4 linked regions of the Saccharomyces cerevisiae S288C genome follow. The protein of the gene in region 2 binds, or shares a complex with, the protein of the main gene of each other region. Each region holds a gene or a part of one and is shown on either strand. Other genes may lie near its edges.

The links.
Region 1: BNI5 (region 2) and NAP1 share a complex: the UniProt entries of both Saccharomyces cerevisiae proteins name them as parts of the GIN4 complex.
Region 3: BNI5 (region 2) and CDC3 share a complex: the UniProt entries of both Saccharomyces cerevisiae proteins name them as parts of the GIN4 complex.
Region 4: BNI5 (region 2) and CDC12 share a complex: the UniProt entries of both Saccharomyces cerevisiae proteins name them as parts of the GIN4 complex.

What each region holds. Positions count from the first base shown.
Region 1 is NC_001143.9:524,017-529,579, forward strand, and holds NAP1 (histone chaperone NAP1), read right to left. Parts: upstream 2,625-5,563; coding exon 1,371-2,624; downstream 1-1,370. Other genes in the region: PLN1 (Pln1p), read right to left, coding at 207-1,058; FMP46 (putative redox protein), read right to left, coding at 2,814-3,215; TRK2 (Trk2p), read left to right, coding at 3,799-5,563. UniProt on the Saccharomyces cerevisiae protein: Acidic protein, which assembles histones into an octamer (in vitro). Involved in the regulation of the localization and the function of the septins during mitosis. Involved in the function of B-type cyclins.
Region 2 is NC_001146.8:321,071-326,819, reverse strand, and holds BNI5 (Bni5p), read left to right. Parts: upstream 1-3,254; coding exon 3,255-4,601; downstream 4,602-5,749. Other genes in the region: GTPase RIA1, read left to right, coding at 1-79; IBD2 (Ibd2p), read left to right, coding at 500-1,555; YNL165W (uncharacterized protein), read right to left, coding at 1,768-2,988; SKO1 (Sko1p), read left to right, coding at 5,461-5,749. UniProt on the Saccharomyces cerevisiae protein: Required for normal septin function and cytokinesis. Its recruitment to the bud neck by CDCd11 and SHS1 ensures efficient localization at the bud neck of MYO1, the type II myosin of the actomyosin contractile ring.
Region 3 is NC_001144.5:760,673-766,679, forward strand, and holds CDC3 (septin CDC3), read right to left. Parts: upstream 3,466-6,007; coding exon 1,903-3,465; downstream 1-1,902. Other genes in the region: SPH1 (Sph1p), read right to left, coding at 78-1,670; NKP2 (Nkp2p), read left to right, coding at 4,136-4,597; TAD3 (Tad3p), read right to left, coding at 4,594-5,401, 5,458-5,509, 5,578-5,686; EST2 (telomerase reverse transcriptase), read left to right, coding at 5,870-6,007. UniProt on the Saccharomyces cerevisiae protein: Septins are GTPases involved in cytokinesis that assemble early in the cell cycle as a patch at the incipient bud site and form a ring approximate 15 minutes before bud emergence, which transforms into an hour-glass shaped collar of cortical filaments that spans both sides of the mother-bud neck.
Region 4 is NC_001140.6:325,529-331,257, forward strand, and holds CDC12 (septin CDC12), read right to left. Parts: upstream 2,509-5,729; coding exon 1,285-2,508; downstream 1-1,284. Other genes in the region: thioredoxin-disulfide reductase TRR2, read left to right, coding at 70-1,098; GGA2 (phosphatidylinositol 4-phosphate-binding protein), read left to right, coding at 2,775-4,532; CTM1 (cytochrome c lysine N-methyltransferase), read left to right, coding at 4,782-5,729. UniProt on the Saccharomyces cerevisiae protein: Septins are GTPases involved in cytokinesis that assemble early in the cell cycle as a patch at the incipient bud site and form a ring approximate 15 minutes before bud emergence, which transforms into an hour-glass shaped collar of cortical filaments that spans both sides of the mother-bud neck.

The sequences.
Region 1 (5,563 bases), on a different chromosome or scaffold from region 2:
TGATCGAGCTATAACCAAATTTTTTTTTTTTTTTTTTTTTTTCGTTTTTATAATTTTTTCTTTGGTATTCAATTGTATATAGTGCTCAAACAGCAACGTACATAATAGCTAGCAAACAATAGATGAAATAATAGAATAATAACAAATAACTATATAAGAGTGGCAGGAAAAAAAATCAGGCGCACGATTAGCGCAAAACCAAATTACTAATTGGTCGACACAGCCGCGGGCTTAGAATTGGTTTGGTCTTCTCTTGAGGCCTTTAGCTTCTCAATGGTGGCATTGCCCAAGTCCAACCCGGTGGATACAATGGCTTTAGGGACGCTTTCAGATTTACTTAGATTGTTTTCATAGACAGTGGTGAAGCGTTGGTAGGTTTCGTTAAGCTTAGTCTTTGTTGGGTCGATGTACACAGACTGCAACTTGTCAGTTGTGGGCTTCACTATGGCGTCGTACTTTTCTTTAGCCAGGTCCTTGGTTGGGTCGATATAGTTCGACTTGACCTTGGACTGGATCTCCTGCGACATACCTCTGGTCGTTGAAGACAACTCTGCCACGTGGGGCAAAGAAGAAGCATCAGTGACCTTGTTCTCCTCACCGGAAGAGCCGATCTCCTTCGATGCGGTAGAACCTTGCAAGTGCAATGGCTTGATCAGGAACTCCCTCAACAGAGTATTAGAAATGTTGGCGACGTAGTCGACGAAGAACCACACCAGCCAGATCCCTGGCGTGTTGGAATGTGATTTCCAATTGTACAGCAAGCCGTCGACACCCTCCTTGAACACCAAGAGGTTAACTAACTCGTCCAACTTGAAGGCCCCTTCCTTCCCAGCAGCAACAACTTGCTTCACCAGACGAGGAGAGCTGGACGATTCGGAAACCCACTGGTTCACAGATCCCAAAACAACGAGGTTGAAGGAAATCAATCTCTCCACAGGTGGCAGAGATTCCGCATATTTAATAAACTTGGATAAAGCTGGGTATCTTTGCAGATGCGACCAGGTTGCTTGTGGCAATTCCACAGATGGTTTAGAAGAAGAAATAGATGATTCAGACATAATTACGCTACGGTTCTGGAGAGTGAGTGATGGTTAATGATTACCGATACATTCCGTTATCTTTCCTTTTATAACCCTTGCTGCTATATTATTAAATCCGAAAGAATACGATCATCCCCCACGGCGGAGAAAATCTAGGCTATTATTATCATTATTATTATTATTATTGTCGTCTTAGTTACATGCGCTTTAACATATATTTCAGCTTACACACTTACATGTATATACATATATATATCTATATATGTATGTATACATATGTATATAAATATATGAATACGGTTATGACCACTCTTGCGAAGTGCGTTGGGATTATGACTGCTTGCATTCAGGAGCCTGTTCCGGCCTGCCAGCAAAATCGTCTTGCTCTTCGGCAGATTCCCCGTCGTCATCCTCCAAGCCGTGATCATCATCTTCTTCTTCGTCTTCGTCCTCGTCCGCTTCTTCTTCGTCCTCCTCGAACTCGAATTCCAAGGCTGCGCCGGTAAACCAGTCCACGGCTCTAGGAATTAGCTTGTCCTTAAGTTGTTCCCCGATGGAGTAGTCTAAAGCTAGACGTTCCTCGAGGTCTTCCTCCAACTCCTCGTCTTGGTCTTCGTTTTGGATCTTGGGAGGGTCGAAGAAGTTGAAAAAGGATTCTATGGGAGTGATCTTCTCGATGGTCCTCACCTGCTTGGTGGTCTTGTTTCTCTGCTTGCGCATTTCTAGGTCCACAGTGACGTTGTGGGCGTTGTCCTTCCAACTGATCTCGCAGCCTTCTGCGTGGTCGTAGATAAAGTCCCCGGAGTAACCGAGCTCCTTCTGGTAGAAGTAGGTCTTGCACAGAATGTCGTTGGTGAAGAATGGGTTGGCGGAAGAATCAAATCTGAACAACAGCTTGAAACCGGGTCTACCATCCGTCAAGTATTCCAGACCAATATCTTGCAGGTACTCCAGAACTTCCGCATCGCGGTCAGTGATCGTGTCGCAAACGATGGGCAAGTTCTCTAATGCGGTTAGCCAGAATGAGGGAATTCCCTTCACCTGTTCCTCCTCGGAATCATTTTGGGCCTTCTCTTCTTCGTCCACCAACAACTCCGTCTCATTGAGTGACTCCACAATCTCTTGGCCCTTTGCGATCTGTTCCGGCTTGGGTTGCTCTTGTCCTGAAATGATCCTGGACCGCTGCTCCCAAATGGGCTTGTACTTCTGCAGAAACTTGTTCTCTAGCTCAAACATCTCCACCTGAAATTCCTTTTCAACTTCGAATAGCTCGCTTTGTAAAGTCTTCAAGCTCAGCAGCTTTTCCTTAACGTTCTTGGGAAGACCCCCCACATACCCGCTGTCCTGGCCCACCAGCGAGCCAAGTCTGTCCTGGATGGACTGTAACAACAGGGGTTGGTTAGCCAAGATGTCCTCCTCGTTGATGGTGCCGATCTTGTCATCCTGCTCCTGTGCCTGGGCCCTAACTGGGTTGCCGTTTTTCAAATAGCTCGGATTCAGAACCGATGCTGGGGTATTGTGAGGCGTAGGGGCGTTGTCGATTTGCATCGACGACTTGGGTTTCGTTCTGATAGGGTCTGACATGATCTTGCGCTTTGCTCTTGGTCCCACTGGGCTCACTAAATCCTCCTAATCTACCATCAAACTGCCATTTTTGATCCCAAACGCTGCTATTTAAAAGGAAAAATTTTCCCAATTACGCGGGTAATACAAAAAAGATATAGCCCATTGTTATAAAAATATGTATGTGTTCAATATAGTGGTATATAGGTGTTATTTGCGCTGAATGATGTACTTGTCAATGTCTGCGGGCTCATTTCCCACCAACTTGTTTTCCCAGTCGACCCAAAGCGCCTCCTTTGGATTCCAAAGTCCCCTCTGGACACACTTCTGCAGGTCCATCCCGAACGTCGGGTCTGTGTGCTTGTATTTGAGCACTGAATCCAGCTTTGGAATCTGCCTTTGCAACGAAACTGGGCCTTGCGGGCACGAAGTTCTCATGTATTGCAGCTGGTCCCACGTGGGAAAGCGGTTGGCGATTTCCACGTCGAATCGATGAGAGACGTCTCCCTTCAGCAACTGCAGGCATTTCTGCGACTTGATATTGGACGCGATGTCATTGGTAAACAACGAGATGGTACGTGGCTGTCTCTGCAATGTTTTCCAAAACGACATTTATTGCGTTTGCGTTTGCGATCTCCCGGTCTGTTATTTTCATTTGCACTTTTCTTAACGTTCTCTTTTGGTTTTATATGCCCCTTTCCAAGCTGGGTGGATACCCCGTCCATTGAGTGCCCGTGCCCAATCAAGCTAAAGCCAGACTAAAAAGAGGAAGAGTTCAAGAACCATCAATGCCTCCAGCACAATTTCACAACAGCTTGACACTTTGGCAACGGTTATATCAGAGCATAGCGACGGGATTAGAGAGATGCAAGACGACGGAAGAAAGAAGGGAGTGCCCGGCATGCGCTGAAAGCGCCCTGTAGTACAAGCGTACCGCCGTTGAATAGGCCATGGTACATCACACGATGATTGATAATTTGATGCAAGCTGCCATGCTCAGATGGTTGTTTCCCGTTTCTCTCTTTCACTTTTGATCTCCTGCGAAGAATAGGATGAGATGTGAATTTTCGTTTCTAATCCCCTCGGCCGTGCGGCTGAAAAAGAGAAATGATATTGGAATAACTAGGTTTCAGATGATGAGAAAAGAGGCTATTTTGTACTATTCACCGACGATAAGAGGCTGTAAGAACCACTCATGCCAACAGCTAAGAGGACGTCATCCAGGGCTTCGTTGGCACTGCCCTTCCAGTTACGGTTGGTGCACAAGAAATCATGGGGCCATCGGCTAAGAGACTTCATTTCCGGGTTCTTAAAATCATGCAGACCCATTGCTAAATACGTTTTCCCCAACTTCATCGTGGTGCACTATATCTACCTGATCACGCTGTCGATTATCGGGTCCATTCTGTTATATCCGTGCAAGAACACGGCGTTCATCGATGTGCTATTTCTGGCTGCTGGAGCGTCTACACAGGGCGGGCTGGCCACCAAGAGCACTAACGATTTCAACCTGTACCAGCAGATAGTGGTGTACGTCATTACATTGCTGTCCACGCCTATACTTATTCATGGGTTTTTGGCCTTTGTCAGGCTGTATTGGTTTGAAAGGTACTTCGACAACATTAGGGATATCTCCAAACAGAATTTTAAACTAAGAAGGACCATGACGTTGCAACAAAGGGAACTATCGGGCAGCAGTGGCAATGCCGCTCGAAGTAGGAGTTTCAAGGACAACCTGTTCCGTGGGAAGTTTGTTTCCAGAGAAGACCCACGACAATCCGCTTCAGATGTGCCGATGGACTCTCCTGACACGTCCGCATTGTCCTCAATCTCACCGTTGAATGTTTCCTCCTCTAAGGAGGAATCCAGTGACACGCAAAGCTCGCCTCCAAACTTCTCAAGTAAGCGCCAACCCTCAGACGTTGACCCAAGAGACATTTACAAATCGATAATGATGCTACAAAAACAACAAGAGAAGAGCAACGCAAACTCCACGGATTCTTTTTCGAGCGAGACCAATGGACCCGCTTTCATTGTGCAGGAACGTCATGAGAGAAGAGCCCCCCACTGCTCACTGAAACGCCATTCTGTCCTGCCATCTTCTCAGGAATTGAACAAGCTAGCCCAGACGAAAAGTTTCCAGAAATTGCTTGGCTTGCGGAGAGATGAAGGTGACCATGACTACTTTGACGGTGCTCCTCACAAATATATGGTCACCAAGAAGAAAAAAATATCTAGAACGCAATCATGTAACATCCCAACGTATACTGCTTCACCGAGTCCTAAAACCTCAGGCCAAGTAGTTGAAAATCATAGAAACTTGGCCAAGTCGGCGCCTTCATCTTTTGTTGATGAGGAGATGAGCTTTTCACCGCAAGAGTCTTTGAATTTACAGTTCCAAGCGCACCCGCCCAAACCAAAACGACGTGAAGGTGATATAGGCCACCCCTTCACCAGAACAATGAGCACCAACTATCTATCGTGGCAGCCAACCTTTGGCAGAAACTCCGTCTTCATTGGACTCACAAAGCAACAAAAGGAGGAACTCGGCGGTGTCGAATATCGTGCTTTGAGATTGCTGTGCTGCATTCTCATGGTATACTACATCGGATTCAACATTTTGGCGTTTGTGACCATCGTTCCATGGGCCTGTACGAGGCACCACTACTCAGAGATTATTAGACGAAATGGAGTTTCTCCAACCTGGTGGGGGTTTTTCACTGCAATGAGTGCATTCAGCAACTTGGGTCTGTCTTTGACCGCTGATTCAATGGTTTCCTTTGATACTGCGCCGTATCCGCTGATTTTCATGATGTTCTTCATCATCATAGGCAATACAGGCTTCCCAATTATGTTACGATTTATCATTTGGATCATGTTCAAGACCTCGAGAGACCTATCTCAGTTTAAGGAAAGTCTTGGGTTTCTCTTGGATCATCCGCGCAGGTGTTTTACGTTGC
Region 2 (5,749 bases):
CAGAAGAAGGAAAGGTCTATTCATTGAAGAAAAAGTTGTCGAAAATGCCGAAAAACAACGTACTTTGAAAAAGAATTAAGGTTTTTTAGGGTTTATATGAATCATAGACTAATATAGATAGTTTTCACTAGTTGAAAATATATATAAATATATGTATGTATGTATGTATATTCACTTGAATATGAGATGAAATAGCACAGTTTTCAAGCATTTCCAGTCTTACGTATTCTATGATATACTACATACTCTCGCGCGAGTGAATGTTTTAGCGATGGGACAAGAAAGTTGAGATGATCTGGACGATGAGAATGGCAAAATAAGCGAGAGCTACAGCAAGAACTACAGATTGCACTTTTTGCATATACCCTGAATAGGAATTTCTTTGCTAAATATTTGGTAATTTGTTATCCATATTTACTGATATCGTGCTTCTTACGACGAATTTATAGCTTTAATCATATTCTCTTCTCTTCTATTTTCATGCCATATCATCAAGAAAATGACACCTACAAACCAATCTAGTGGAACGACTAATGCATCTGTGGAGGTACTTTCAGAGGATGGACCTATGCCAATAAACGTTATGATGCAAGAAGGTGTGAAAGCGCTGACTAAAATTCTTTCCAATCAGCTTCAAGACAGACAAGCTTTTCAAAACGCTCCTCATGCAATGCAATTCGTTATAAGAAATGGAGGAAAAGCTTTATCAAATGCACGGTTAGAAGAGCTCAAAGATGCTCTTCCTAAGATGGACTCGTTGAGTTTGGAAGATGAACTTGCGAAAATAGATGGCCAAAGTGCATACCACATTGATTCCGCAGAGGAAAAGGAAACCTTTGAAAGTAAAATAGGCCAAATAGCTTCTAGAAATAGTGCAGACTTCATAATAGAGGAGGACTTGCAAAATATTTTAGATGATGATCTTAAAGACTCAGAACTTAACTTGGATGGCGAAGAAGCCGAAATAATTTTCGATTATGAGAGCCAAGAACTGGATACACCGGATGGTATAGGGGAAAAGATTTCTCAAATGATAGAATCGGTGTTACCGGGAGGGTTTGGAAGTGAAGAACAGGGGGGGTTGCGAACTGTAACAAATGTAGAGGATTTAGATGTTGCAGAAGAAGTCACAGATATCGATCATGATACCGTTGACGCAGCTCGTTTGCATGGAGACGGTCAACATTCCATATCTTCTAGAAAGCACAGCAGGTCAAAGAACTCGAAAAAGAATGGGCATGTAAGGCGACATGACTTTTATGACGAATCTAGAGACCATAAAAGTTGTTGCCCGCATCATCATTATGAAAACTTATCCAAACTACGAAACTACTATTATCATGATTTTGAATATATTTCCAGAACGGAAAACCGTGTTCCAGATTTCTCTGTCCTAGTTAACGAATCAAGTCCCATGTGTTTATTTTGCGAGTACTACATGGTGTTTGGTGAACCACCACGTAACATGATAAAGTGGTATAATCGTACGTTTGGTTACAATCGTATGCCGAATCCACCAAGAGATGAACAAGATAGTAGGAAAAGGAATAGATAGTCAACATTATTACTGTAGGAATAAAGTAGTATAGGGAACATTACATAATAGAGGAAAACTTGTGAGGAAAACTTGTGACATTCTAAACGTATTTAAGAGTTATTGAAAAATTAATGGTGTACGACAATATTTCTCTTTGAATATTTATATGCTTCTTAGCGGTATTATGACTAAATAGTAACAGGAAAAAACACAAGTAAATGCAAATGGGTTTACATCAGTAATCCTGCCGGTCCATTTAGCATATATGTGGTCGAGCTGCCCCATGCGGTGTGGCGTTTCTCCTTTCTTGATTCATATTCATGTAATAGCATGCACATGCAAGTAAGTATCTGACTATCCCACGGCACATTTTCAATGATATTAGAGCCCATTTCAGTATAATTGGTAGATGTTAAACTAGAGCCATCATCAAACGAATCAGTTTCTTGTAAGTACAAGGTAGCTACTCTCAAAGTTCTTTTTTTCGGTATGACACTAACTTTATCATCTGTGTATCTGGCCCATACTGGGAGATAACCCAGCGGTCTTGTGGGACGGGAACGGCTGTAAGAATCAAACTCTTCAATAGTTTGTTGGTTCATGTAGGATGCCATCGTATCATCGAGTACAAGTAGGTTGATGCTATTTGAGCCAAAAGGTGAAGCTAAACTAGTTGTCCCGTACCAACGAAGATTTAATCCATGAATTGCCGTATCCGCATTTTTCCTTTGATTGTAATTAATCATGGGGATATGAACATCAGGTTCATCTTTTCTATGAAATATAAAATCGTGCTCTACCCTGCTCGAAAAATTATGGCTTTCCATTTTTTTTAGAATAGTGCAGAATTCATATTTATATATGGAGACATTTTCGTTTATTCGAGAGACCACTTCTGAGTTTAATGGAGGTTTATCGCATTGGGAGTCTATCATAACGTATTTATATATCCTCATTACCGGTGTATTTTGATCACTGAAAAGCGACTTGACCAGGTTTAAAGAAATGGCGTGAAATAGGGGAAGTCCTAGACCCCTCTTTGGATCAATGTTATCGAGCTTCCTCTTGTTGTGTAAAAATAGCTGGAGAGATTCTTCACTGGGGAATGCAAAAAACCCTCGTTGTAGTAGCACCGAAACGAATGGCATGGCTCTTTCTGACGTGAATCTTGGGGCTCTGTTAACATAACCCTGTCTTTGTAGGTCTCCAATTGTTGAGCCTTCTGATACCGCTGTATTCAAAGTAGCTGCATCCGCACTATCATCGCCCTCGTTGGCAGAGGTTTCCAGAGATTCATTTTCTCGTGCAAATATTGTAGATTGGTCGTCTCCATAACCATTAGCTCCCAAGAGATTGACGGTGGATGGAGACCCACTGTGAGGATACGGAGGATGTTGGCGATTATGTCGGCGTCCCCGGCGATTTCCAATCAAAGAGCGTACTCTATCCATGCGGATCTTTGGCAAATGTATGTAGCACTTCTCCTATCGTTCAATTTGATGCTCTTTCTTTTCCAAAAGCCTTACTTGTTCTTCTTCTTCACTAGTAGTGAAGGGCTTTAGAGATGCCCAGAACCCAGACCATTTTAGACGCGTTATGAAATAAATATTGCGCTGAAAATTCAAACTTCATAATAAACAAAAATCATTAATAGTTTTGTAATTTGATTTACTGTTATGGTGATGCTATGTTAGTGTGAAATAGAACAACAGAAACGATGGGCTTGGACCAGGACAAGATAAAGAAGAGGCTTTCTCAAATAGAGATAGATATCAACCAGATGAACCAGATGATTGACGAAAATTTACAATTAGTTGAACCTGCGGAGGACGAAGCTGTCGAAGATAATGTCAAGGATACGGGTGTGGTCGACGCTGTAAAGGTGGCAGAAACGGCTCTTTTTAGTGGCAATGATGGAGCGGATAGTAACCCAGGAGATTCAGCTCAGGTTGAAGAGCACAAAACCGCACAGGTCCATATTCCCACTGAGAATGAAGCGAATAAGAGTACGGATGACCCATCCCAGCTATCGGTTACTCAACCTTTTATAGCGAAAGAGCAGATAACTCACACCGCCATTGCTATTGGTGACTCCTATAATTCATTTGTCGCAAATTCCGCTGGAAATGAAAAGGCAAAGGACTCCTGCACTGAGAACAAAGAAGATGGTACAGTCAATATAGATCAAAACAGGGGTGAAGCTGATGTTGAAATTATCGAAAATAATGATGATGAATGGGAGGATGAAAAATCGGATGTTGAAGAGGGGCGAGTAGATAAGGGAACAGAGGAAAACAGTGAGATTGAATCTTTCAAATCACCCATGCCCCAGAATAACACCTTGGGCGGTGAGAACAAGTTAGACGCTGAACTTGTATTAGACAAATTTTCTTCCGCTAATAAGGATCTAGATATACAACCGCAAACCATAGTTGTAGGAGGTGACAATGAATACAACCATGAGAGCAGCCGTTTAGCTGATCAAACACCCCATGACGATAATTCAGAGAATTGTCCCAATCGCTCTGGAGGAAGCACTCCCTTAGATTCTCAAACTAAAATTTTTATCCCTAAAAAGAATTCTAAAGAAGATGGTACCAATATAAATCACTTTAATTCAGATGGTGATGGACAGAAAAAAATGGCGAATTTCGAGACACGACGCCCTACAAATCCGTTCAGAGTTATCTCGGTGAGCAGCAATTCCAATTCAAGAAACGGAAGTCGTAAATCTTCACTAAATAAGTATGATTCGCCAGTCTCCTCTCCTATCACATCAGCGTCTGAGCTGGGCAGTATTGCCAAGCTGGAAAAAAGACATGATTATTTATCCATGAAATGCATTAAGTTACAAAAGGAAATTGACTATCTAAACAAGATGAATGCACAGGGTTCTTTATCTATGGAAGACGGAAAGAGACTACATAGAGCCGTAGTGAAGCTTCAAGAATATCTTGACAAGAAAACGAAGGAGAAATATGAGGTCGGAGTGTTATTAAGTAGACATCTGAGAAAGCAAATTGATCGTGGCGAAAATGGCCAATTTTGGATTGGAACTAAATGATTACATTACGCCAAGGGTTGTTATAAATATTTATAAATTAAGACAGATATATAAAGTTAAAATAAATACCAAAAGAACATAGACAATCGTAAGAGAATAAGAATCCTTTATCCTAGAGCCATCCATCTGTTATTTTTGATGTTGCTGACTTTTTTTCTGATAAATTCTATTATTTTAATAGTAAAGAGGTGAGTATTTCGCCTAAACGTAAACAAAACGATAATAAAAAAAAAAAAAAATGAAGACAAAATGTTCAGATAGTCAATTATATTGTAATAACATGAAACGGAACAATAACAGTACCCAGAATTCAATTTCAATGGCGTTGTGTCTTCTTTTCTCTAAGAACTTTCATAAACCAAGTCGTACTTAACCGCGCTAGCGATAACCCTGCTAACTTTGTCGCAGAGGGAAAAAAGTAGAATCGAAGGGAAAAATCACGAAAATTAACTGGGCTGAATAGAATGAATTCAGTCATACGGTGATGGTTTTCGAAACAAACTGCACATTTTTCCAGTTAAAAGGACCAAGTTTGGTTACTGATACGTGAGACTAATTTGTTCTCCAGAAACACAATAATTTGGTGCTACATTGCCAACGCTCAGGAGTGGTTTTAAGCTCAGAAAAGTTACTACCAAAGGGGTTCAACGTAAAAGTGAATTGTGTTTTCTTATCGAGAAAAACTCTTTTATTATTCAAGTGAGTTTTCCACTTATTAGATTCCTATCTTTTTACCGATCTCTATTATTTGATAAGTTCCTTAATCAATTCGTGGATTTTTATTTTTATTTCATTCTTTTCATTTCAATTTCTGCATTCCAAATACACCTGCCCAGTCTCTAGACCCTGCTTAATCATTATGTCAAGCGAGGAACGCTCGAGACAACCAAGTACTGTTTCAACTTTCGATTTAGAACCCAATCCTTTTGAACAAAGCTTCGCCTCTTCCAAGAAGGCTTTGTCACTTCCAGGCACGATCTCCCATCCGTCTCTACCAAAAGAGCTTTCACGAAACAATTCTACCTCAACGATAACACAACATTCCCAACGTTCCACTCATAGTTTGAACAGTATTCCAGAAGAAAATGGGAATTCAACCGTTACAGATAATAGTAATCATAATGACGTAAAAAAAGACTCACCTAGTT
Region 3 (6,007 bases), on a different chromosome or scaffold from region 2:
CTCGATGGAATTTTGACATAATCTCGAAACTGATCTTGCGGACTTGAACAATTTTGATTTAGAGGCTTGAACATCATTCAAAATGCCCTGCCTGCCATAGGAAGAACAACCATTGATTTACTCTCAACAAATTCGACGAGGTTATTTATGTTAGCGTTGTGCGTGGTTGAGTTGACATCAGAATTATTCAAGTTTTCTTCTGAAGTAGATATTCTTAATCCAAGACCAGAGTTGGGAGCAAATTTCTGCACTTTCTCTCTGAATTTCCTCATTTTGGTCACGGTTGGCGAGTAAAGTACGTCTGCAGCTGGCGGAATATTTGCATACGGCTTCGCCGTTTCTGCCACTGGTTTAGTGATAACTTTCTTCGGAGGTGATGCCTGATAATCCTGCCGAAATTTACCAATTAGCGGCAATGTGTTACCTTGAGGACTTGGACTTCTCGAGTTCGAGACAACTTTCAGAGGCAAACCTTCTCGCGGAGATGGCTCACTCGTAATTCTTGAAGAATTCTTAGTGTTTTTTAACGGCGACACAGACGCTAAGTTTGTTTCTCCAGATGTATTATTTCGTACCTTCCCACTCTCTCGAATAGAAGATTCAGATTTTTCTATGATGGAAATTGATGGCGATGCTACAACCACTGGCATGTCCGATTTTTTTGTAATGGGCTTACCAGAGGATGGAAAACTAACAGCAGTACTACCGCTATCACCCAGAGATGATATATCCTTACCGTTTTTCTCATTTTTCACTTTTTCAATAATCTTCAACGGTTTCATACCTGCCTCGATATCACTGAGTTCTCCTTCATTGCGTGATATATCATCACGTGAGGTGGATTTGATCTTCACAATCTGAGCAATATTGCAGAACGCAAAAATCACTTCCGAAATAGATGATTGAGCTACAATTCGTGGTATTAGGTCCCCATATGTGAGAAAATATCTTGTTGAAGTGATAGCATGAGATAAAGCACTCTTTAAGTATACTATTTCGTTTTCTAAAGAACTTTGCAGTGAAACTGATGATAGGACAGGTAAGAGATCGCCTATCAACTTTGCTATCTTAATTATAGTCTCAAGCAGAATCGGCAGGCGTGTGGTGGTGGTATCCACAGGATCAATTCGATGGAGCGTGTTTTGAAAATAAAGTGTAAATTGAGTTTTTAATTCTCGGAAGACTTCAATGGATATAATACCATTCACGCTCATAAAATCATCGTTTATTTTGAAGGATTCAAATAATGTGTCATTTAAATAGAAATTTAGATCACCCTCGTCTAACCCATTGTTATGCGTCCCCATATCCAAATGATGTAAGTTTCTCCTTTCAATTTCCGTGAAAATATCAAGAATCAATTTATGGAACTTCGCGTCCTTCAATCGAGACAGTTTAGATTGTGCTTTACCTCTTTTCAGATCAAGATCATTTAGTGATGCATCCGCACCCGAATCTGTCAATCTTTTCATCAATTCATCGTTGACATCAGTCGTCAGTTGCCAAAATTGTACATTCGACAATTTTGTCAGGTCTTTATTTCTATTTTGGCGGTTTTGGTTCCTTCTTCTATCATCTTCTGGTACAGAGGCCTCTATAATTCTTTTGAAATTCTTATAATCCGATATAAGGTCTATGATTTGATCATTCGTTAATTCTGAGCTAATCATTCTTTTTATTTCGTTATGGCCACATTATGATATTCTTTTACTTTACTGTTTTAATTTTATATTCTGCGATTCAAATCATAACAGATATTTAGTTGAATAACTCTGTTTTTCTTCATTTCCATTTTTTTCTATTTACCCTTCTTCTTTTTATTTTACGCGTCTCGCGTTTTATATATTAATAGTAATAATATTTAATAGTGTATGTTTGAAATTTTTATATGTCTTTATTTCGCTAACGTAAAAATCCCTTCTTCTTTGTAGGGACGGGGGAGTGGTTAACATTGGGAGAAGCACTATTTATTGAAAGTTCTAGCTGTTTTTTCTTGTCCTCCAAAGCTTTTAATTGTTTAGTTAATTTTTCCTTCATTTCTTTATGTCTAGCAAACAATTCAGTTTCTGATTTTTGTAGTTTTTTCTCCTTTTCGGAAACTTTTTGTTGGAAAACTGTTTTCATTTCAATTTCTAGTTTGGCTAGTTTTGCCTCATGTAAAGTTTTTTCTTCTTGTTGTTTAGATATTGGATCGAACTCTTTGAAAACTGAATTATCTTGCTTAATACCAAGTTTTGCCAATTTAGAAGACCTGTAGTTTTCGTATAGTATCTTGCTTGTCCTTTCCTTTAATTCCTCCATGAATTGCTTGATCAATAAATTTTTCAAAAGGTTGAAATCAGAGTGGTTGTCATTGTCCACTTCGATCACCCCCCATGGATAGGAACGGCCTCTCACTTGATTACCACTGTAGTTCTCTACAATATCGTTGGAACCAATAACAGCATAAGGTAAACTACTAAATAGTCTTTCGGATAAATGGCTATTTTCTGCATCATCGTTGGAATAAATTGGAGGCTTGAACAGCTCGATATTAGATTGGATTAACTGGTTCATAATGGTCTTCTTGAAACTTAAGATCTCTTCATCAGTTAAGATGTCAGATTTAGCAATGACAGGAATCAAGTTACATTTTTCATATACAGATTGCATAAACTTCAGGTCCAGGGGCTTTAAGTAATGTCCTGTAGGTTCAATGAAATAAAGACATGCATGGATTCTTTTATCGTTTATTGAATGTCTGTTGATTTTGTTCTCCGCATCCAAGTATTGATCAAAACGAGAGTCAATCTCCTTAATGATCGGGTCCCATGATTTTTGATCATTATTTAAAAAATCACCAAATCCTTCAGTATCGATCACGTTCAAATTCAGTTTAACACCATTTTCTTCAATAACCGACTCATATGACTTAATTTTGACCTTGTGCCTTTGTTCTTGTGATTGGTTCTCGTGACCCTCGCCCTGACCCTCCTCTTCTTCCTGATCATTTGCAAGTTCCTCCTCGTAATCTTTCACTAAATTGGCCTCAATATCATCATTATTAAATAAAGTTTTCATTAAAGTTGTCTTACCAATACCATCAGGGCCGACACATAGGAGATTGAAACTGAATCCGTTCTTTATGGACCTTCTGTGCCATTGCTTGGGCAAATTAGCAAACCCTACATAACCATTGATTTGACGACGAATGAACTTAATCTCCGGTTGGTCAGGCAGAACTTGACCCTTTTCGCTCTGAGAGGAGGTGATGCCCATACCGAGGCCGGGTTCCACCTTTACATCGGATTCAGCTGCCTCAAATCTCTCGCTGTCGTCATTTTGCGTACCGTTCGTGTACTGCGAGTCCACTCCATCATGATCCTGCGACTCTTGTTTGATCTGAACATCATTGAATTGATCATGCTGACGCTCTTCTTGTTCCGGGTCCTGCTTAATGGACACTTGTTCCTCCTTTAAACTCATGGCAACGTATTATAGGCCGATGTAATCGTTCAGTTGTCGTGTGATCCTGGATTTGATATTTTCTTGATCTGCTTTCCTCGAGAGATTTTAACTTAATACACAAAACAACACAAAACGCAATTCCTAAAACCGAGACAAAAAATGGCAAAAAATGGGAAGCGAAAACACGCCCCCACCATATCATTACACACGTAGATCATAAAAGACGAAAATACTAAATTAGCCGCCCAGGTGGTTCCTTTTTACGAAAGGAAGGAAGGAGAAATCTAGAGGTGCTGCTATATATGTTTGCAAGGTGCGAGAATATTCTGTCACAATTATCAAGCAGCAAGTTATATAAAGTTGTTTCTCACAGCTTCTTGCACTCCCTTGCGGTGCCTTTCCTGCACCACTAGTGTAACTGCTGATGTCTTCCATTTGATGTCAGAATCGATTTCTTGTTACGCCACGAACAGTTAATATATAGAATTAAAGGAATGATCTTGTACAACTACAAGATAACAATAGATTAACAGCCAATATTACCGTCGCCGCTGCCCGCTTCGCGGAGAAACAGCGAAAAACAACGAAGATCGTTCTCGAAAAAGCCCAAAAGCTGGGTATAACGCAACAAAATAATCATAGATTTGACAATTGTGCTCCCAATCTTGCTTTGAAATTACCATTATAAATGAACTCTGAACAGCTGCTGCATAACTATGTTTCGGATTCGCTACTCACTACTCTGATAAGTTTTCAAGAGTTCAAGCAGCAACTACAGTCGTACACGAGCGACGAGCAACAACTGCAACATTGGTACGAATTGCTTCAGGCCAGGGATGCGCGAGTGACCTCTGAGTTAGAAGCACGAATCAAGCAGTTTTTCATAACGTTGCGCTCTAGATTACTGCGATTTCTGGAAAGCGAGCAACTATCACACTCCCTTAGCCTCGAGACACTGATCGACGCGCTGTACAAGATTAATGACCTGTTGCAACAGCGTTTGCAGATTCTGGATGATGCTATTCAGGAAAAGACCTCGGAACTAGCAGAATTTGAAAATATGGTTCGCTCACCGAGTGCAGGAGACAATGCCATTCCTGGCCTATTACAAATTATACAATCTTATATTAATCTATTAGAGGAAAACTAGCAGCAGACATCCCGGTCAACCTGCCCCACAGGATATTCCTCGCCGATCCATTGAAAGGCTTCGTATGTTGAGTTTAGCTGTTTGTTATCGTTCATGCAGTACCCGTCACCACTCGTTAATTTTAAGCTCCCGGTGCGCTGCATCTCTGTAAGGAAGACCACTCGTCTCACACGAGAATGGATCAGGGCCATGGAGCACATTGAGCACGGCTCATGGGTCAAATAGACGTCGTAATCAAGACACAGATAAGAGTTTGCGTCTTCGTCTACACCCTCCCTGAGTCTTTCGCCTACCGCACGGATGCCCACCATTACACTGTGGTCGATGGGTAGCGAGTTTTCGCAGTTTCTGCCATCTTCTGCCACCACTTTGTCCTTCTTTCTTGATGGGTCAACAAAGACGCTCACCATTGGAAACTGTTTTCCTGCCGTTGCCATCTTCACAGACAACGTCGACGCACGCGATAGCTCATTTCGTACTTCCTGCATGTCTATTTTATAGTCGTTCAATATTTGATCATTGGGGTTGCCGTTCCAAATCAACGGCCAGTACTTCACAGACCAGGCATTGTTCAGTTCCTTTGTGCTGGGCGCAAACTCAGGCACTTCGATATCATCACTCAGTTCATACTTTTTCGTTCCAACCCAAATACTCTTCAATTTATTGTTTATTTCACCTTCGTCGCAAATATACTCTTTCGAACACAACACCACTTCCAAGGTGGAGGTCTCGATGTCCTTGCGGATCCTTTTCAAATGTCTCAATGAAACAGGGTCATTTTTCTGAAAATCGTTTCGAATTAGCCTACTTTACTAGTTAGTTTACTTCCATGAATACAAAAGCAAAAATCATATACATACTCTATTACTTTCTTCGAGTCTCTTGGATCTATTCTTATACTCCATACATTGACTGCACTTATATATGTTTGAAAGTTAGTTAATTGATCCTGATTTCTGTTAGATCTCATAGATACATACTTAGTTTGGGCGTATTTACATCTTTGAAATTTCTAATTTGCAGAAGCCGATTTTCTATTATCCCGTTCTGATAATCGATTTTTAGCGGATTATTAACTTTCTTAACCATAACTAACACGCCCTCATGAATATTATCCTTCTGAGGTTTGAATAATATATACCTTTAGATGAGCTATTGGTGATTCGCATTTAGGAATGAAAAAAAGTAAAGCATGGCAATGAATGACACAAGTGAAATAGAAAAGTGAAAAATTAAAAAAAAAAAAAAAAAAAAAAAAACTGATTTATACTCATGAAAATCTTATTCGAGTTCATTCAAGACAAGCTTGACATTGATCTACAGACCAACAGTACTTACAAAGAAAATTTAAAATGTGGTCACTTCAATGGCCTCGATGAAATTCTAACTACGTGTTTCGCACTACCAAAT
Region 4 (5,729 bases), on a different chromosome or scaffold from region 2:
CTTTTAGGGGATCGTCCAACATTAAAGGAAGAACGAAACGGACTCCACAGTTTCTAATATAAATAAACAATGATAAAACATATAGTTTCGCCATTCAGGACGAATTTTGTTGGCATCAGCAAGTCCGTGCTGTCAAGGATGATTCATCACAAGGTTACAATCATAGGTTCTGGCCCCGCTGCCCACACCGCTGCTATATACTTGGCAAGAGCAGAGATGAAGCCCACATTATATGAGGGAATGATGGCCAACGGAATTGCTGCTGGTGGCCAATTGACAACAACCACCGATATCGAAAATTTCCCAGGGTTTCCTGAATCGTTGAGTGGCAGTGAACTGATGGAGAGGATGAGGAAACAATCTGCCAAGTTTGGCACTAACATAATTACCGAGACTGTCTCTAAAGTCGATTTATCTTCAAAACCATTCAGATTATGGACCGAATTTAATGAGGATGCAGAGCCTGTGACCACTGATGCTATAATCTTGGCCACGGGTGCTTCCGCTAAGAGAATGCATTTACCAGGGGAGGAAACCTACTGGCAGCAGGGAATATCTGCCTGTGCTGTATGTGATGGTGCAGTCCCTATCTTTAGAAACAAGCCATTGGCCGTTATTGGTGGTGGTGACTCTGCGTGTGAGGAAGCGGAATTTCTTACGAAGTATGCGTCGAAAGTATATATATTAGTAAGAAAGGATCATTTTCGTGCATCTGTAATAATGCAGAGACGAATTGAGAAAAATCCAAACATCATTGTTTTGTTCAACACAGTTGCATTAGAAGCTAAGGGTGATGGTAAGTTATTGAATATGTTGAGAATTAAGAATACTAAAAGTAATGTGGAGAACGATTTAGAAGTAAATGGACTATTTTACGCAATAGGTCACAGCCCTGCCACAGATATAGTTAAAGGACAAGTAGATGAAGAAGAGACGGGGTATATAAAAACTGTGCCTGGATCGTCTCTGACTTCTGTGCCAGGTTTTTTTGCTGCAGGTGACGTTCAGGACTCTAGGTATAGACAAGCAGTTACTTCTGCTGGTTCCGGATGCATTGCTGCTTTGGATGCAGAACGGTACCTAAGTGCCCAAGAGTAACGTGAAAAAACCGGTTTATTTTTGTTTTTACTGTTCGATTGTGTTACGTATTCTATGTTTTTTGAGATATATTTGAAATATTTTTATAAGATACATATATATATGTGCGTATTGCTGCGACAAAAGAAGAGACAAAGAGATAGGCGTTGAAATTGACGAGACAAAGAGGAAGACATTAATTAATCATCATTTTAAATGGGATTTTTTTACTTGCAAGCTTTTGACCTGCTCTTCTAGTTTTTTTACCTTTCCTTGAATTTCTTCCAAGTCACCGTTCAGTCTGATTCTTTCGTTAACAATGTTTTGCTCCCATTGTCTAAATCTTTGCTCCTCAGCTTTGACTTGGTCAGTGAAATACTTCTTCAATGCATTTTCTTCTTCTTTGTATCTAGGATTGTGTGACAATTTCCTTGCTGGTGCAATTGCTGGAAGAGTGAAATCTTCATTCCCCTCCCCGGTGTTCTCGTGACCCTCAAGTCTTAATCTTCTGTATGTTTCGTAATGCATTTCTTGGGTGGTAGAAATCAAATCTAATAGATAAGTCCTCAGTAACAGGGCTCTGAGCTTACGGAAATCACAATGAGAATCGTTTTCGATTTCCACAAGTCCCCAAGGATACTTCCTTGCAACTACCTGAGTGCCTTGCCCATTGTCAAATTTTTTTTCAGACCCTACTATGGCAAATGGCATTGCTTCTATCAACTGTCTTGCATGTTCAACAGCGGCAGAATCTGGATTACTGCCACTTTTGGCATCTTCCTTAGAATCAGCGTCTAATGGAGGCGTGAAAATACGAATTTCTTGAGCTTCTATTACTTGCCTGATTCTGGACTTGAACTGTTGTAATTCTTGGGCAGTCAATGTATCAGCTTTCGCAATAACTGGAATCAGATTGGCTCTGGTTGACAATCTCTTCATAGTCTCAATGTCAATTGGCTTTAAACCATGTCCAGTGGGCCTGATGAAGTACAGAACGGCATGAACTCTCAAGTCAAATTTCTTAGTACGGTACGGTTGCTGCTCTTGACGCATATAAGAATCGTGTTGATCATCAATAAAATCCACCAATGGTTGCCAGGCTTTGTTGTTATTCACGTTATCTCCAAAACCTGGGGTGTCGATGACATTAACGCGTAATTCGAAATGCTTCTCTTCCAGCAAAGCTCTTGTGATGTCGATTTCTACAGTCTTTCTGATGGGTTCTTGGCGGTGTTGCTGACCATCTGCCCTTTTCAAGACAGTCTGAAATAAGGTATTAATAAATGTAGTTTTACCCAATCCGCTCTCACCACATAACATCACGGTGAATGTACCACCTTCTTCATTAACAATTTTATAACGCTGGTTGGGAAGATTGGATATCCCTACAGGAGGAGGAACAGGGGCAGCAGTCGCAGTGGCAGCACTCATTATTTGATACAATATGTGATGTAGTTCGTTATCAATACTCTTCAGGTCAAGATCCTATATCTTGCTGCACCTTTCAAGACTTTGATCTACTCAAAACAAACAATGGTGATTTCGAAAAAAATTTCGGATTCTTCACTTTTCCAGCGCCCTGTTTTTTTTCTGTAATCACGATTGCAAAAAAAAGAGACTTACCATAGGACAATTTCCATAAACAAAACAAAGAGCAACATAACTCATAGCTGAATTGCTAATCGTGATACTGCATCATGTCCCATCCGCACTCACATAGCATATATTTGTCTGAGTTGCCCGTCAGGAAACCTCAAGCCTTGGGCAATCCTCTTTTGAGGAAGATTCAAAGAGCTTGCAGAATGTCACTTGCTGAACCAGACTTGGCGTTGAATCTTGACATTGCTGACTACATTAATGAAAAACAGGGCGCTGCCCCTAGGGATGCTGCCATTGCACTTGCTAAACTGATCAACAATAGAGAATCGCACGTGGCAATATTCGCGTTATCTCTATTAGACGTGCTTGTCAAGAATTGTGGATACCCATTCCACTTGCAAATTTCTAGAAAGGAATTTTTGAATGAACTGGTCAAGAGATTTCCAGGTCACCCACCATTACGTTATTCTAAGATTCAGAGATTGATTTTAACTGCTATTGAAGAATGGTATCAAACAATTTGTAAACACTCAAGCTACAAGAATGATATGGGTTATATTAGAGACATGCACCGTTTGTTGAAATATAAGGGTTATGCATTCCCCAAAATCAGTGAATCCGACCTAGCAGTTTTGAAGCCTAGTAATCAATTGAAGACCGCTAGTGAAATTCAAAAGGAGCAGGAAATTGCTCAAGCTGCAAAACTCGAAGAATTGATCAGGCGTGGTAAACCTGAAGATTTGAGGGAAGCTAACAAATTAATGAAAATCATGGCAGGGTTCAAAGAAGACAATGCCGTTCAAGCTAAACAGGCTATTTCCAGTGAATTGAACAAATTGAAGCGTAAAGCCGATTTGCTGAATGAAATGCTGGAATCACCTGACTCACAAAACTGGGATAACGAAACTACACAAGAACTTCACAGTGCATTAAAGGTAGCTCAACCAAAATTTCAAAAGATCATTGAGGAAGAACAGGAAGACGATGCGTTAGTGCAGGATCTATTGAAGTTTAATGATACAGTTAATCAACTATTGGAAAAATTCAACTTATTGAAAAACGGTGACTCCAACGCTGCTTCGCAGATACATCCAAGTCATGTTTCTGCTCCGTTACAACAATCTTCTGGTGCTTTAACGAATGAAATCAACTTAATCGATTTCAATGATTTGGACGAAGCGCCCTCTCAAGGCAACAACAATACCAACGGCACGGGTACACCAGCAGCAGCGGAAACATCTGTCAATGACTTATTGGGCGATTTGACCGATTTATCTATTTCGAACCCTTCAACCGCTAACCAAGCATCCTTTGGTCTGGGAGGCGATATCGTGTTGGGGTCCTCTCAACCCGCACCACCAGTTACTACTACTAACAACTCGAACAACACTTTAGATCTTTTGGGACTTTCAACTCCTCAATCGCCAACTAATTCCCAAGCAGTAAACAGTAGTGGGTTCGATCTTTTGATGGGATTTAATCCAACAACAGGTACTACTACTGCGCCCGCAAGAACCCTAGTCAATCAGTCTCCTAACTTGAAGATTGAGTTCGAAATATCTAGGGAGTCAAACTCAGTTATAAGGATAAAATCGTTCTTTACAAACTTAAGTTCGTCACCGATCTCCAACTTAGTGTTCTTATTAGCAGTCCCTAAGTCAATGTCTTTGAAATTGCAACCCCAATCGAGTAACTTTATGATTGGCAACGCTAAAGATGGTATCTCTCAAGAAGGTACAATTGAAAATGCGCCAGCTAACCCTTCAAAGGCTTTGAAAGTCAAGTGGAAGGTCAACTATTCTGTCAACTCCACCCAAGCTGAAGAAACTGCTGTTTTTACGTTACCTAATGTATAATCCTCTGGCGTTTCTTATCAATCCTTTCTCTTCTCTATGTATATTTTTAGAAGGATAATACCTCTATGTAGACAATCTTATAAAGATCTTCGCAACAATACATATTTCACTTACTAATATATGTTGCGTTTTCATGCATCAAAAGTAGTTAGCAATGCTAGATCGTGTAAAGGAAAAAAAAGAGAAATAGTATAATTCGCCATCCTCATAACCACTGAAAAATCGAAGTTAACCAAAAGGAAAGTTGAAATGGAGGAAGTGTTCCGTTTTTACTCGAACTCTAGAAATATCTTCATTCATAAAAGCCTTTCATTAAAACCATCCACCATTGATGACCCCAAAAGTGGATATGGCCTTTTCGTAGAACCTTCGAAGTTCAAGAATGATGAATTGAAAAGTGAAACTATCCAATTGCTCCGAATCCCTAAGCGCTGCACGTTTAATATAAACACACTTCTGGCTCTCTTGGGAGATGAGGACGAATTTTCTTCAAAGGAAGAATTTCAAAGAACTAATGACAAAATTAAGATTGCTCTTCGTGAAATAATGGCTCATCCGAATTTCAGTGTGTTCCTGACAGAAACAAATTTACTCATAATTTATTTCATGATATTTCAAACTATTCGTAGTCGTTATGAGATTCCCGAAAATATCCAATATTATTTAGAAAATGTTTTAATGAGCATTGAAGTAGAAACAGCCATGGATTCTATTGAAAACTTAGCTACTGATTATGGACATTATCCACAGATTTTTGGCCTTCGAGAGACGCTAAATTTATTTAAAGAACTGTTTCACGACGTCTTGAATTTAAGTGATATCAAACATCTTTATTCTGCAATAATTTCACGTTGTTTAGAGATACCAGAAAGGGCCGATACCAAAAGTGAAGAATTCACGGTCCATTCTACTTTAGTCCCTATTGTAGATTTTGCCAACCATGAAGGCACCCAAAAAAATGCTTATTTTGACATCGACCCTTCAAATAATGACGTTTTACTTCTATTGGATACAAAAGCGGTCCAAAGTGAACTCACAAAACCTATTGAAGTTTTCATTAGTTACTCACCAACAGAGGATTTATTTTCCATGCTTGTAACATATGGATTCACCCCAGATTTTAGAGGGAATTCCCAATTTTGGACTGTATCCTTTGACAGGTGCTTTTTAAGAAACTATGATGGACCAGATAAAACT